2 linked regions of the Caenorhabditis elegans genome follow. The protein of the gene in region 1 interacts with the protein of each later gene in a pairwise test. Each region holds a gene or a part of one and is shown in the gene's direction. Other genes may lie near its edges.

Region 1 (6,683 bases):
ATCATCTGCTTCATCAAATCACTATGATCCATCTGCAGCAGCAGGATATGCACCACTATATCATCAACCACCAGAATCAGATCCATTGTCTCAATGTGGCTATGGACCGAGAAAATGGTAGCTGTGATGATCAAACAAAACTCATATATCTCAAATTACGGTTTCACTTAATTCGAAGTTTACGAACATTGATTTTAAAAAATAAAATTGATTTATCTTCGAAGTTTCATTCTCTCGTAACTTCCTTTATTCTCTACTAGTGAGCGCAGTGAGCGAATGTTCTGTGAGTGTTTGAAGAGGCCGTCCGTTGTCCCTCTGACCGAGAATAAAACATTATACAAAATGAAGAGAACACAGGGAACCACGGATGTATCTCTGTGTCTCTTCACGATGCCAATACATTCCTTGTATCCCTTCGAATTTCTTTCTCCAACTCTTTCTACCACCCAATACTAAAGTCTTCCCTCGTCTCTTTTCCCGCCAAACGAATGAATGTTGTGAGTGTGTCTCTCCTCTCGTTTCACTCTTTTTCAATGAAGCTTTTGCACCGACCATCCTCTAGGTCCCACCACGAAAATCTACTGAACACAATACTCCCACCTGCAGTGTCTTTTCTCTCTTATCGTTCTTTTTCGCATCCGAATCGGTCTCCCCCGCCTTCCTTCACCATCTGCCGTATCGTGTCGTATTGGCCATTACTCATTGTCAATTTGATGACCATATTTGGTTTGAGTCTCCTTATTTGCCCTCGGATATCCTCATCTTGTTTAGTTTGTGTATTTATCTATGAAATTTATTTAAAACCGCATTTATCCATATGTTATTGCATAATATTGAAGCTAATATTCATTCCGAAAAGTTAAGAGACAAGTATCGTGGAGAAATGTTAGTTTTTGGATTTGCGATTTCAGTTTCACTTTGTCTTTCTTGTCACTCAGTAAACCCGTTCAGAATATACCCAGATTTAAACCAAATTAAAACCGTACAAGCCTATATTATGAAAAATTCTAATTTTGGGCAGATGTAAACCAAGATTGTCTAGATCCAAACTTAATTTGCATAGATTGCAAGTTTGAGTAGATGTAAACTGAATTTGTGTAGGTTTGTGTATTTCCAAATCGATTTTGTGTAGATCCAAACCAAATTTGTGCAGATAAATTCACAATATAGGCTTGTACGGTTTTAATTTGGTTTAAATCTGGGTATATTATGAACGGGTTTACTGAGCACTGCTGGATGGTGTTAATTTTATAGTATAAAATTTTGAAAATGTACGAGATTTTGCAAGTTGTTTTTAATTTTTAATTCTCGCGCATATACATAAAATGTCAAATATAAATAAGTAATTAAATAAGCATTGCTGAAAAAAAAAAGAAAACTGAAATTAAAAATTAATCTGACCGAAAATACGATAGGCAAACGTACGTAATTCGAAAAACCCAAGATTTCACGACAAATTGCCAACTAAAACATTTTTCCGCGCGGGAAAAACTTTTATTGTTTCCAGAAGTTTCCTGTTGTTTTGAAGCTATTATTTCAATTATAAAACATTTTCCGAACTCATTTTTCGAACAATTTAACCAAAAATGCATAAATTTGTGAAATTTGTGTGTGCCACGTTTGATCGACGCCAGTCTTTTTCTATTTCTCTATTTTCTGTGTGAAAATTTTGAATATTCAGTACAAACGTTGCAGTTTTTGTTATTTTGTTATCATTCCGTTGTCTATCCATAATCTATGAGCCTTTAGTTTATTTTTTGTCAAAGCCGCCCAATCAAACAAAACTCGCAGCTTCTGTGCATCGCGCACGAGACGAGTGATGAAATATTCCGAAATTTCGCAATGTTTTGCCGTTTCCTCCTTTCTCTATTTCTCTTGCATCTCGTCATCTTTTCTTGTTCTCTACTCAGCATATTGATTATACTTATTGCAGGCATTGTAAGGAGAAGCCGGGTAATTAATACGATAGGCGCCGTTACAAACCGCCAACTGGTGATCATTATTCTCTGAAAATGGAGCCGCGGACAGACGGAGCAGAATGCGGTGTCCAGGTATTAATTTTCCCCGCCTAGATTTTCCAATTTCATATTGTTTTCAGGTATTTTGTCGTATTCGGCCGCTCAATAAGACCGAGGAGAAGAATGCGGACCGTTTCCTGCCCAAATTCCCTTCCGAGGACAGTATATCGCTTGGGGTGAGTAATACAAAGGGGTCATAGGGAACAATTATGTCAACAGGGACGGGAAGCACGGGGGATGCAGGTGTGTCAATTCTCTCACATGACACATTCATCTGTTTGAAAAGTACACGAAAAGTGCAAAGTTGAATATATATATATATATCGATTGATTTGTTGGAATTTTTCAGGGAAAAGTATACGTGTTCGATAAAGTGTTCAAGCCGAACACCACGCAAGAGCAAGTGTACAAAGGAGCCGCTTATCACATCGTACAGGATGTATTATCCGGTTATAATGGAACAGTTTTTGCATATGGACAAACATCTTCCGGAAAAACACATACAATGGAGGTAGGAATTATGAAAACCTTGATAATTACGTAGAATGCGACAAAGACAATCAAGTTGTAATATCAACAGTGCAAATCTTTACTGATTAATGAAAAGAAAAGTTTGAGAACTAATTTTCAGCAGTTATTTCCGAAATCGAATGCCCGAAAGATTTTTGATAATTTTTACGTTTAAAATATTCGGCGCTCGATGAAATTAACAATATAATTTAATTATTTTCATATTTTTTACAGGGAGTAATCGGTGATAATGGCTTGTCGGGAATCATTCCACGTATCGTTGCTGACATCTTTAACCACATTTATAGTATGGACGAGAATCTTCAATTTCACATCAAAGTGTCCTATTATGAAATTTACAACGAGAAGATTCGAGATTTATTAGACCCCGAGAAGGTCAATTTGTCCATTCATGAAGATAAAAATCGAGTGCCATACGTGAAGGGAGCCACCGAACGGTTTGTTGGAGGACCCGATGAGGTTCTTCAGGCAATCGAAGATGGAAAATCCAACAGAATGGTTGCAGTTACGAGTGAGTAAACTTAAAATTAAACAAATTAACATGTGAACGAAATTTCAGACATGAACGAACATTCTTCTCGATCTCATTCCGTCTTCTTGATTACTGTGAAACAAGAACATCAGACAACAAAGAAACAGCTCACCGGAAAGCTTTATCTTGTTGATTTGGCTGGTTCTGAGAAAGTGAGCAAAACTGGAGCTCAAGGAACAGTTTTAGAAGAAGCCAAAAACATCAACAAGTCACTTACTGCACTCGGAATAGTTATTTCAGCATTGGCTGAAGGAACTGTGAGTTGTTTAAATTATGACCTTCTTAAAACGAATATTTATTTCAGAAATCTCATGTTCCATATCGTGATTCCAAACTGACTCGTATTCTTCAAGAATCTCTAGGAGGAAATTCCCGTACTACAGTTATTATTTGTGCTTCTCCGTCACATTTCAACGAAGCTGAAACTAAATCCACACTTTTGTTCGGAGCACGTGCGAAGACTATCAAGAATGTTGTACAAATCAACGAAGAGCTCACAGCAGAAGAATGGAAACGGCGATATGAGAAAGAAAAAGAGAAGAATACTCGATTGGCCGCCCTTCTCCAGGCAGCGGCTTTGGAACTTTCACGCTGGCGTGCTGGAGAATCAGTGTCTGAGGTTGAATGGGTCAATCTATCAGATTCTGCTCAAATGGCTGTGTCGGAAGTTTCTGGTGGGTCGACTCCACTCATGGAACGTTCGATTGCTCCAGCTCCTCCAATGCTAACTTCTACAACTGGCCCGATCACTGACGAAGAGAAGAAGAAGTACGAAGAGGAACGTGTCAAACTGTATCAGCAACTCGACGAGAAAGATGATGAGATTCAAAAAGTTTCGCAAGAGCTTGAGAAGCTTAGACAACAAGTTCTTCTCCAAGAAGAAGCTTTGGGAACTATGCGTGAAAACGAGGAGCTGATCCGTGAAGAGAACAACCGATTCCAAAAAGAAGCTGAAGACAAGCAGCAAGAAGGAAAGGAAATGATGACAGCTCTGGAAGAGATTGCTGTCAACTTGGATGTTCGACAAGCAGAATGCGAAAAATTGAAGAGAGAGTTGGAAGTTGTTCAAGAAGATAACCAGAGTTTGGAAGATCGAATGAACCAAGCAACATCACTCCTCAATGCTCATCTTGACGAATGTGGTCCAAAAATCCGTCATTTCAAAGAAGGAATCTACAATGTTATTCGTGAATTCAACATTGCTGACATTGCCTCTCAAAATGATCAACTTCCTGATCACGATCTTCTGAACCATGTCAGAATCGGAGTTTCAAAACTCTTCTCAGAATACTCTGCTGCGAAAGAGAGCAGTACAGCTGCCGAGCATGATGCTGAAGCGAAACTTGCAGCTGATGTTGCTCGTGTTGAATCTGGTCAAGACGCGGGTAGAATGAAACAATTGCTGGTGAAGGATCAGGCGGCAAAGGAGATCAAGCCACTAACAGATCGTGTCAATATGGAGCTTACAACGTTGAAGAATTTGAAAAAGGAGTTCATGAGAGTACTTGTTGCTCGATGCCAAGCCAATCAAGACACCGAGGGAGAAGATTCTCTCAGTGGACCAGCTCAAAAGCAACGAATTCAGTTCTTGGAGAACAATTTGGACAAGTTGACGAAGGTTCACAAGCAGGTTTGTCGTTTTTATTCTCATTTTGATTATCTTAAAACTTGAATTTTCAGCTTGTTCGCGACAATGCCGATTTGCGCGTTGAACTGCCAAAGATGGAAGCTCGTCTTCGTGGTCGTGAAGATCGCATCAAAATATTAGAAACTGCTCTTCGTGATTCGAAGCAACGTAGTCAAGCAGAACGAAAGAAGTATCAACAAGAAGTTGAACGAATCAAGGAAGCTGTTCGACAACGTAACATGCGACGAATGAATGCTCCACAAATTGTGAAGCCAATCCGTCCAGGACAAGTGTATACGTCTCCGTCAGCAGGAATGTCACAAGGAGCTCCAAATGGCTCAAACGGTGTGTTTAGTCAGACATCTACACCTTCAACATCTCGCAATCAGATACCATCAAAAATGACTATTTCACAGTTGATTGCAGAAATTTAAGATTTTTTTAAAAATTCTTTAGTGCTCATGTAATTTTTCACAAGTAATTATACTATGAATTAGAATTAGAGTGAGTGTTTCTTTTTCTTCCTACCGTATTATCAAATTTAACAGTCTTTTGTCCGTCCATTTTTCACTAATCAAAGTTTTTCAGCATAATGTCTCCCAACAACAACATCAACTCATCGTCTTCTTTGATCCAATCAATACACTGAAGACTGACATTCAAATGCTTCTCTATCTCTCTTCTTTTCCCGGCTTTGTGATATACTTTCGATGGGCTTTTCTGTTTATTTTAAAATCTAGTAACTTATACAATTACGCGGCTTCTGGAAGTTTCAACAAAAATATCTTCATTTGGTTGGTTGTGTCTCCCCATTTCGTTCCTTGGCTTCTCGTCTTCCATGTAGAATACAAAACTTCAAAAGCTAAAAGTATTTAAAGCTTCCCTCCACCCCCACCCAAATTGCCTTTTTCCGCCTTTTTGTTCTAATAGTCTGTTTCTATACGATTTTCCTGTTTCAGTTTTACTAATCTGACACGAGGTTTTGTCTGGTTCTTCCCCCCGTCACCCACCAACACTCCTATGATTGTTTTTTGCATGCGTTTGAGTGTCTTTAAAGCTTGCTTGCTAAATCCCCCTATCATTCTTCATAAGAAATCAACTTGTTTCGTTTCTGCACAATTCGGCCCCCAAATCCCCGCACATCCCAATTGCGTAATTCATTTTTTTGTATCTTTTGCTCTTCCAGTAAATAAAATTATTATTTTTTCTGTTATTAAATAAACGTTTTGCTGTTTTTTAAACAAGATTTTACAATAACATACGAGCAAGAATAACCAACAAACGCATGAGCTTAACTGATTAGTGTTCTGGAGTGAGAATATCATTGAAAACTATGAGAAATAAGTTTAATGTAATTAAATATTTATTGATAGTTTTGTTTCCATTTTGGACCAACTAATTATTATTCAGTAACTTTCGAATATTATCAAGTTTCCTGTTGAACTTTGACTGTATAAAGTTTTTATTTTTTATTTTACAGATTTCTCTAGTCTAAAGGTTGTTCTCCATACCTTTCAATTTACTTCCTTTTTCTGAAAATTTTATTATTTTATAGTATAAATTAAGGTTAAATAACTTTCCCCCAAAATCAAAAATGGTCGCCTGGAGAGCTGCTGGACTCAACTACGTCCGTTATTCACAAATCGCCGCACAAGTCGTTCGTCAGTGCACCAAGGTTTGTTGGACCCTTAAATAACAATATATGCCCCTTTAAGTGGTACAGTAACCCGTTCCGTTAATTTTCTGTTTATCATTTTTCAAGTTATAACCTATAGGTTTCAATTAAGTAATATGTTTCTGAAAATTACCGGTAATTAATTACTGGGCTCCTAAAGGTTCACACATTTTTGTCCCACATCAAAGTATGAAAAATCGCAAAAATTATCAAAAATTACAGGGAGGCGCCAACGTGAAGAAGCCCCAAGCCACCTTGAAGACCACTGCTTGGGAGAATGGAAAGATGGTGTCCAAGTCT
Region 2 (8,124 bases), on another chromosome or scaffold:
TATTTGGTTTTCCACGCAAAACTGAATTCAAAAATCATATCACTGTTGTTGAGCTTTTGTTTTGAATAGCAAACAGTTTAGCTTTCGAAATTCGGTGTTTTCAATGAACCGTAAGGCGTGTTTCGTCTTTTCTCCAAGCCAAAAGATACACAACAAATGAACACTGCCTTTTTGAGTCTCCAGAAACCGATAGACAACCTTGATTTGAATAAAGATTCTGTTTCGCTCAATTGACAGCAGCGATCTTTTTTCAATTCTTTCGTTTTTCTCACTTTCTATTTACTTCCCTAACTTTTCTCAATAAAAGTCTCCAAGAAGGGTAATTGATTCAAGGTGAGGAAAAAGGGCGAGAGATACATGTTTTGTTTTCCTGTTTTCTCCACTTGTTCTTTTTATCAGATCTATTTAATCAAAAAGGTTAAAACAAATAGTTTGTTTTACTATCGTCACCATAGGTGTGTGTGCGTGTGTGTTTGATATAAGATTTAATCGCAATTCGGCATGTTTCTTCTATTGTTGCCGCATTGGTTAAACACCAGTTTGGGGTTTTTTTGGAAGAGTATTTCAAGTTTCTGAAAGTTAAAGCATTTCAAATTTCAGACTAAGAATTTTACAGTAAGTGGTATTATAAATAATTGCATTGACCGCAAATTATTGAAAAAGCTTAGAATTTTTAAATAGAAATATTGTTTCAGCATTTCGTAGTAGTGCTGCAATATTATCTTATCGGAATAATTAATCTGAAAAGTTCAAACCGATTTTTAAATTTTGACAAATTTATTTTGAGTTATAAAACTCTGTTTGCGGAAAAATGGTTACTTTCCCAAAAAGTAATGAAATCTCACAAAACTAATTGGCCTAGCTCAATTCGAAAATTTCCACTTCCATTTTGCTTCACCGTTCTTTTTCATTTGAGCCACCCTACTTGTGCACCACTCGGACAAGTGCATTCTATTTATTCCATTTTCTTTTCATTGTGATTAACCATCCTGAATAAAATGTCTTGGGTTTTCTGCTCGGCGCCTCTTTCTATCTTTCTCCAAAATAGAGTACATGTAGACTTGAGTTTCTTTTCGGTCTTCCTTTTCTTCCCTCATTCCTTAAATTAGATTTGACATAAGAAGAACTTTATCGCAACAGGCGGATACCTTAAGGTTCTCATTCTTGTTTGCCGTTTATCGCTTCCATCGCAGACAAAAGTAGTGTGTTGGAGAATTTGACTGACGCAAAAACCACAAACATTTTAGGGTCAAATTCACATTTCCAATTAATATTTTTCAATATTACCGTTTGCCATGCTTCATAGGTAATTAGATGTATACACTTTCTCATGGCAAGTGTGCCACCCGTAGAGCAAATGTTATATAACGCAGGAGGTATGCAATAACCAAATTTTGTATACAAATCAGATGGCTCGCCATCGAATAGTCTCACGCTGAATGAACTATTTTTCGATCAATTCATGCTTTTTAGTACAGCTTTGTGTAAGCTGTGTGCTAGTAGAAATGTCAAATTATTTTCATGAAATTGTATACATCCGATTTAGCATATCTTAAAAAATCCTTATTTGTAAATACAGTTTCCGATAACTTGTGAACCCTTTTTTACTTAATTTGATATTTCAATCTTTAGTAAGTTCAACTGTTAACACCTTTATAACAGTTTTTCATCTTGAAAAAATGTCTAAAAATTTGACAAACAGAAATTTAACGTTAAAAGACCAATAATGAAACAGGAAAACAAGACAATATCAAAAGTAGGCCATCCATTTGCGCGGGAATTTAAACATAATTCAGAAAATCATCGCACATTTAGAATAATTTTATTATTTTTATTTTTAAATTCATATTTGTACACTACATCCCATTTTCATATTTGCAAAGTAATGTTTACTTTTCTAAACTTTGTGATTTTTTCTTGAATTTCAATATTTCAATCTCATTTTCAATTTTCTTAAACTTCAATAAAGTTTCAGATGATTGGAAGAAAAGAGAAGGAACGGGAACGTCCATACTATCGAGACCCAGATGACCCTGAATATATCAAAGATTTGCAAAGACCGGCAGTAATCAAAGTAAGTGCTGCTCCAAGTTTTTCCGTAAAAAAAACTAGAGCACATCAAGTTTTCCCTCCTCAGCTCTCTTTTTTCTCTTTTTCCAAGAACTTCAATTAATGAAACCTGCCATTATTAGCGCAGTGTCATTTTTTGAAAAGACTTGGGAAATTGAATGGAAAATGCAAGAGAAGAAGAGAAAGGAGTGCTCGCTCTTTAATCAGCTTAAAAGATGGATGAGAAATGCTCTATTTTAGGAGGATTTGTCAGAGATGGAGAGACGGAAAAGAGTGCAACAGATACTTGAATCAAAATCATTCTGCCACGAGCTAGAAGAAGTTATTCGTCAGGTTTGTAATTTGTCTTTTTTCTCGTTATTTTGTTTCAATAAATGTAATTTTGTACAAAACATTTTACATCTAGGAGTGTGATACAGCACGTACGGATCCGGATCACTTGCAAGTACTCCAGAAACTTTCGGACCTCACAGTTCCACAAGGAAACATGTCGTTTGGCAACCTTCACACATATGGTTTGTATTATATTTTGGAATAATGTATTCGAAAAACGGATAACTTGGTTTTTTTTCCTTATTTTGACAAAAGAAACTCGATTTATGCTTATTCACACGAGGAGTTACAACATGTTATAATGCAGAAAACTTTCCTATACGAATTTTAGCTATGCTGAAACCTTGTGACACAAAAGTAGATATACTTTTTTTGTTTTTCTAGTAAAGTATTATAATATCAAAAATCTAAGATTCCCATGCATAAACAAAATTGCAATATTTTTACAAACTTGAACTTCTGTAAGTTGACAATTTCCGATAAATCATGTAATCTATGTTTCAGGTGGAAACACCATTGCAATTGCTGATCTTCGTGGAAACGAGAAGTATTCAAAAGCGGAACGTATCCAGAGAAACAAATTGGCATGCTTGTTTCGACTAGCTGACCTGTTCCAGTGGTCACAAGGGATTCATAACGAAATCTCGGTAGGGTGCTTGAAGTATTGACTTTTTAAAATTACCACAAAAATTTAAAACTTGAACCTGTGGTTTAAAGTAAAATTTTGCAATCAACCAAATTTATTTTACAATATAGCAAATACAACGCGTGTAGAAATTGTATGAATTTCAACTTTATTAAAATACGAAACTTCTGAAACAGCTGCCAAAATGTAAGGATTAATCAGCTTTAAATTGGGATTTTTTTTGTTCAGTGTTGTGTTCCGGTTACACACCACTTTATTTTCCGACGTGAGTTAACTAGCAGGTCCATTAACGACGTGTTTAAAAAAATGTATTAAAATTATATTTCTATGAAACTTCTACAAAAGTAAAAACACCATATTTACCTTTCTAGAAGAATTTTAACAAAATTGATTTAGTATCGAACCAACGATGAGGATAACACTTTTCTGATGAATCCATTTGGTCTTCTCTACCATGAAATCACTGCTGCGACCATCGTGAAGATAGATGAAAATGGAAAAATTCTGGATTGCGGGACACTGAAAGCTGGAGTCAACCAGGTACCTTTAAAATCAAAAACGACTTATTTTTGCACTCATCAAGTTAAGCCTGCGTTTCTTCTTCATTCTGCAATTTACAAAGCTCACCCAATGGTCAGATGCATTCTTCATATGCACACGGCAATTGTGGCGGCTGTGGCTAGTATGAAATGTGGTTTATTGCCTCTATGTAAGGAAGCAATGGTGCTTGGGCCAGTTGGATATCACGATTATCAGGTTAGCAAAAATATTGAATTTGAAGAAAAACAATCACTTGTGTGGTTATTTTCATAATCTGAAAAATTTAAGTGTGAACGAGAGAAAATTGAAAATCTGAAGGTTAAAGAAACTAGAAGCAAAATCGGCAACCGTTTTTTAAAATTATTTTTTGATGATTTTTTTCCAGTCAAAGTTTTGGTACTTTGCCAAAATTTGAAAAAGTTTATCATGTAAATCGGTAGTTTTAGTACTTAAAGTAGATATAGAAAAGTTCATCGTCGACCTTCGAACGGTTTAAATTTTCATTAACCTTTCACATGACTTTAACTATAAAATCAAAAAAATTGTTGAATTTTCTTTTCAGGACATTGGTGATGATGATATTCAATTTGACGAAATTATTGCAAATCTTGGAGACAAAAACGTGCGTTAGCTTTACTTTGAACTGCTTTTCTATCCGCTTTTCTATGCTTCGTTTCAGGTCCTTTTCCTCCGCAATCAAGGATTCCTTGTTGTCGGTGACACTATCGAGCATGCCACTTTTCTAGCCAACAACACTGTGATAGCATGCGAAACTCAGGTTTTTGAAGTTTCTCATATTTAAAAATTACACGCTGCCCTGCCGCCAGTAGTTCAATTCTATCGCCAAATGCTTATTTTTTATGAAATGACGATGGGATTAAAACATTTAAGGTTCTGCTGATCAGAGGAGAAGGATGTTTTGTTGTTGGAAATTCCGTTGAAGAGACATCTATAATTATGCGCAACTTAGTCACTGCTTGTGACCATCAGGTTTAGAAAAGTTATAATAAATGAGAAATATTATTTCATATCAAATACAAAATACATAATCAAAGTTTCCAAAAACAAAATATTTTTGTAAGGTACGTGCCGCAAGGGCTGGACTTGACAACCTCATCATTCCGGAAGAGAAAGCAATACAAAGAGCGTTCAGAAATTCTCGAAATAGTAAGATTCTGCAATATATATTGAAATTTAAAATACATCTATAATGCTTTTGTAGCGAATTCCCTGAAACGAAATGGAACAGTTGATTGGAGAGTCGGAGAATTAGAATGGGAGTCTTGGATGAGAGTGTTGGATCATGCGGTGAGCAGAATTTTTTCGCCCTGCTCACAGTTGTTTCACTAAAAATTGCTACTAATTATAGAATTTTCAAACCGGGCACGTCTATCGTCAACCACAACTGCGGCCCAAATCTGCAATGTCTACGTCAATGGTGAACAACAATGATGTTGCTGTTCCGCCAACTACATCAGCTTATGGACAAATTGATGAAACAAACTTGGAAAGTGTATCTGCACATCGTCTGGCTTTACTGCGCAAGGAGCAGGAGCGGGTTCGTTGGATGAACAGTCCAAATGCATATCAGAAGGTTGAATTTTTGGAGTATGGAGCAGATAACCCAAAGAAGATAACTAAAGTAAGAACTGTTTTCAACTTTTGCAGTACGAAAATAAAATTTGTACATGAACTTCTGATGGTTTGTGTCATTATGTTTACACAGTTATTTTCATATAAATGTACAAAAAAATTTGAAGAAACATTAAATTAAAAACTATAAACAGAGATTTGAAAACCCAAATAGCTATGATATGGGTGGGCCCTACTAGTGAATTTTTGTTTTGGATAATTTCTATGTCACTAATTTTTGGATTGTTGTCATTATGCACATTATGAATACATGTTATGCTAACGCAATAAAAAAATGTATTTTTCAATATTGGAGTAGTGTCAGAAAATGTTCAAAATTGCTCCAATACCAACTATCGATTCAGGCTGTGCCTAATTGTGTTTTGAAAATTTTGATCCGCAATAAAAATATGTATTAAAGTTTTTTGAGAAGTCTCATTATAAAATTCGGTCGCATTTGGTTATTGAGTTCAAATTAAACATCTATGATAAATCATTGGAGAAAAAATTAATTTTAAAGTGTTTTAAATTTACACAAGTTCAAATCATTTCAGTGGGTTCATGACGTCAACGTTCCATCCGCGAGTGGAACCCCTGTCAAAATCAGCAGTGTTCATCAATTCAGTCCTGCGTCTTCAAATCCTAAAGAATTTAAAGAAAAACAAAAAGCTATCAAAGAAAACAACAGACTGGGAACTCTTTCTGCTGGACCACAAAGCCAGATTTTGGACAGTGTGACATATGAAGACATTGCACTATTGATTAAAGTGAAATATCCCGTCTTGAAAATTCATTTATTATTTTGTAATCTTTCAGCCTGATAATGACGGAACAGTCGGACAGAGCTCGACCGCTGACCGAGCAATACTTATCGGAACTGCCAGCAAGGGAATCATTGATAGGCAATTTCAGCATCATGCTCAGGTGTACCACCAAATCTATGCGCCGAATCCATTCTCTGTAGAAACTGATGCAGACATCAAGAAATATGTAGACATGGTGAAGGCCAAGAACTCGCAAAGCGCTCCTGTCTCAGCGAGAAGTGGTTACTCTCAATACGATGAGGTTGAAGCTGGTAAGGTAGCTGAAACAAAAAAACAGCAATTTTTAAAGTCGTTTTTGAAAACGAAAACTGAAATTCCTTTATTTAAAACGTAATAAAATAAAATAAACACTGCAAAAAATCCATGTTGTGTTGCGAGTTTTTAACTGAAAATCTGGGGTTCAAAACACTTGTGGGATGCCACTTGTTTTGAGTATGTTCTTTTTGGCTCCACTTACAAAATATATTTTTGAAAATATATTGCTGACAAAGGTCTAAAAATAGCTTCTCTAGTTGTAACCAGCCGATTTTCAAAAATTATTCCAGATACAGTTTCCTTAATGCAAGGAGTACGAGAACATAAACTTTCTCAAGCGGCTCTGAGCGCATCTGACGACGGCCTGAATGCCGGAATCTCCCCGAATAATGGTAATTTTTATGTGGTTGCTCCTTCACATTTTATCGATGCGCCTGTTTTCTATCGCTTTGTTTTCCAGTGTTTTAAATTATTTGAATGCCTATTTTCCATATTTCCAGTCCGAACTTCCGAAGAAAGCGTCAATACGTCGTACATGAGCCAGTCAGTTGTGTTCGATTGTAGGTTTATTTTCCTTATTCTTTCTGTGTAGCATGTGTGTGGTGGCTTCAAAGCTTTTTATAACTTTCACAGATTTTCTAACTCTTTGTGTACAGGCGATCACCCTTCTCCGATGTCAATTTCGACAGAGTACCCTGAAAAAGTTAAAATGACGCGATTTTCGTCGACTCAAGGAACAAGTGAAGGTATATTTGTAACTACGTGGTGTCTATTTGTGTTTTCACTTTTTTTTCGAGCGCATCAGCTAACTAATCAATAACTGAGTTGTAACATTTAGGCAATACAACGTCTCGATCGTGCACTACAGCGTCTGAAGAAGAAGTAAGAATTTTTGGAAGCAAATAGTTTTTCAAATGTTTCAAACTTAAAAAAGAATGAGGTTTCTTGCCATAAATAACAGAAAAACTATAAAGTAATATATTAAATTTTTAATAATGTTTTTTTTCAAATTAGAAGTTTTTTTTTGATATTTTAACAATTTCTGAAAAATTTTAAAAAAATTCAATGAAAAAATTAAACTTTTTACAGTTGTATTCTCTATATATAAACTGTTTTCTGTTATTTTGGGCAAAACCCCACTGACTCTACTCTACCTTCAAATAAGATTGAAATATTTGCTAACTTCTCTGCTTTTGGGACTAATCAAGCACTTATTTTACACCGTTTTTTATTTCAGAAGCCTACAAAAGATGAGAAAAAGAAGAAAAAGAAAGGATTTTTGTCATTTATGCGAAAAAAGGACAAATGAAAAATGAGAGTTTTGCTCTCACCTTGCTCTCACCAACACGTTCACATCACTTAACTCTAACACTTTTCGATAACTTTTTCTATGTTTTCTTTTCAATTTTCAGATCCGGATATACTACGCCCAATTTACCGTCAAGAAACATATGTCTAGTCTCTGGACTTTTCTTTCTTTCCCGTGAACTTTCAATTCCGGTTATGGATAATAGCAACACTCTGTGCTTTGTCTTTTGTTTTTCGAATATTTTTAAAATGTCATTTTGTACGCATATTTTTTTTATATTATGTATTTGCATTTCCATCAAGTTTTTTATACTTTCATCTATAAATAATTATATTATATTACAAAAAAAAGCCAGGACAGAGAAGAATTCGGCAAAGTGACTACGAAAATAGCTTTTCTCAACGAATTTAGCAGATTAAAAAAGTTATCCAGTTTATTTTTGGTTGTTGCTATAAAACTCAAAGTGCTCGTTTTCCAGACACTTTCCTTGGAATATATGATAGTTTTTACACACG

Evidence for each region.
Region 2: the proteins of unc-116 (region 1) and add-1 interact in a two-hybrid assay, tested with the Caenorhabditis elegans proteins (one large-scale study listed by BioGRID).

The regions. Positions count from the first base shown.
Region 1 is NC_003281.10:8,350,425-8,357,107, reverse strand, and holds unc-116 (Kinesin heavy chain), read left to right. Parts: upstream 1-1,933; 5' UTR 1,934-2,012; coding exon 2,013-2,051; intron 2,052-2,098; coding exon 2,099-2,194; intron 2,195-2,367; coding exon 2,368-2,529; intron 2,530-2,762; coding exon 2,763-3,060; intron 3,061-3,108; coding exon 3,109-3,338; intron 3,339-3,385; coding exon 3,386-4,711; intron 4,712-4,761; coding exon 4,762-5,053; intron 5,054-5,296; coding exon 5,297-5,301; 3' UTR 5,302-5,944; downstream 5,945-6,683. Other genes in the region: Putative RNA-binding protein R05D3.8, read left to right, coding at 1-121; R05D3.6 (Putative ATP synthase subunit epsilon, mitochondrial), read left to right, coding at 6,303-6,383, 6,606-6,683. UniProt on the Caenorhabditis elegans protein: Microtubule-dependent motor protein required for organelle transport. Plays a role in endosome transport. Required for the transport of mitochondria along the axon of motor neurons. Involved in the nuclear migration of hyp7 hypodermal precursor cells.
Region 2 is NC_003284.9:4,853,888-4,862,011, reverse strand, and holds add-1 (Adducin-related protein 1), read left to right. Parts: upstream 1-1,968; 5' UTR 1,969-1,975; coding exon 1,976-2,074; intron 2,075-2,310; coding exon 2,311-2,403; intron 2,404-2,476; coding exon 2,477-2,585; intron 2,586-2,907; coding exon 2,908-3,050; intron 3,051-3,169; exon of another isoform or gene 3,170-3,319; intron 3,320-3,445; coding exon 3,446-3,589; intron 3,590-3,637; coding exon 3,638-3,805; intron 3,806-4,151; coding exon 4,152-4,211; intron 4,212-4,268; coding exon 4,269-4,367; intron 4,368-4,671; coding exon 4,672-4,756; intron 4,757-4,811; coding exon 4,812-4,897; intron 4,898-4,958; coding exon 4,959-5,231; intron 5,232-5,775; coding exon 5,776-5,988; intron 5,989-6,037; coding exon 6,038-6,296; intron 6,297-6,590; coding exon 6,591-6,692; intron 6,693-6,800; coding exon 6,801-6,860; intron 6,861-6,956; coding exon 6,957-7,046; coding exon of another isoform or gene 7,047-7,120; intron 7,121-7,138; coding exon 7,139-7,182; intron 7,183-7,537; coding exon 7,538-7,609; and 4 more. UniProt on the Caenorhabditis elegans protein: Membrane-cytoskeleton-associated protein that promotes the assembly of the spectrin-actin network. Plays a role in time-dependent memmory loss and the retention of conditioned behavior over time.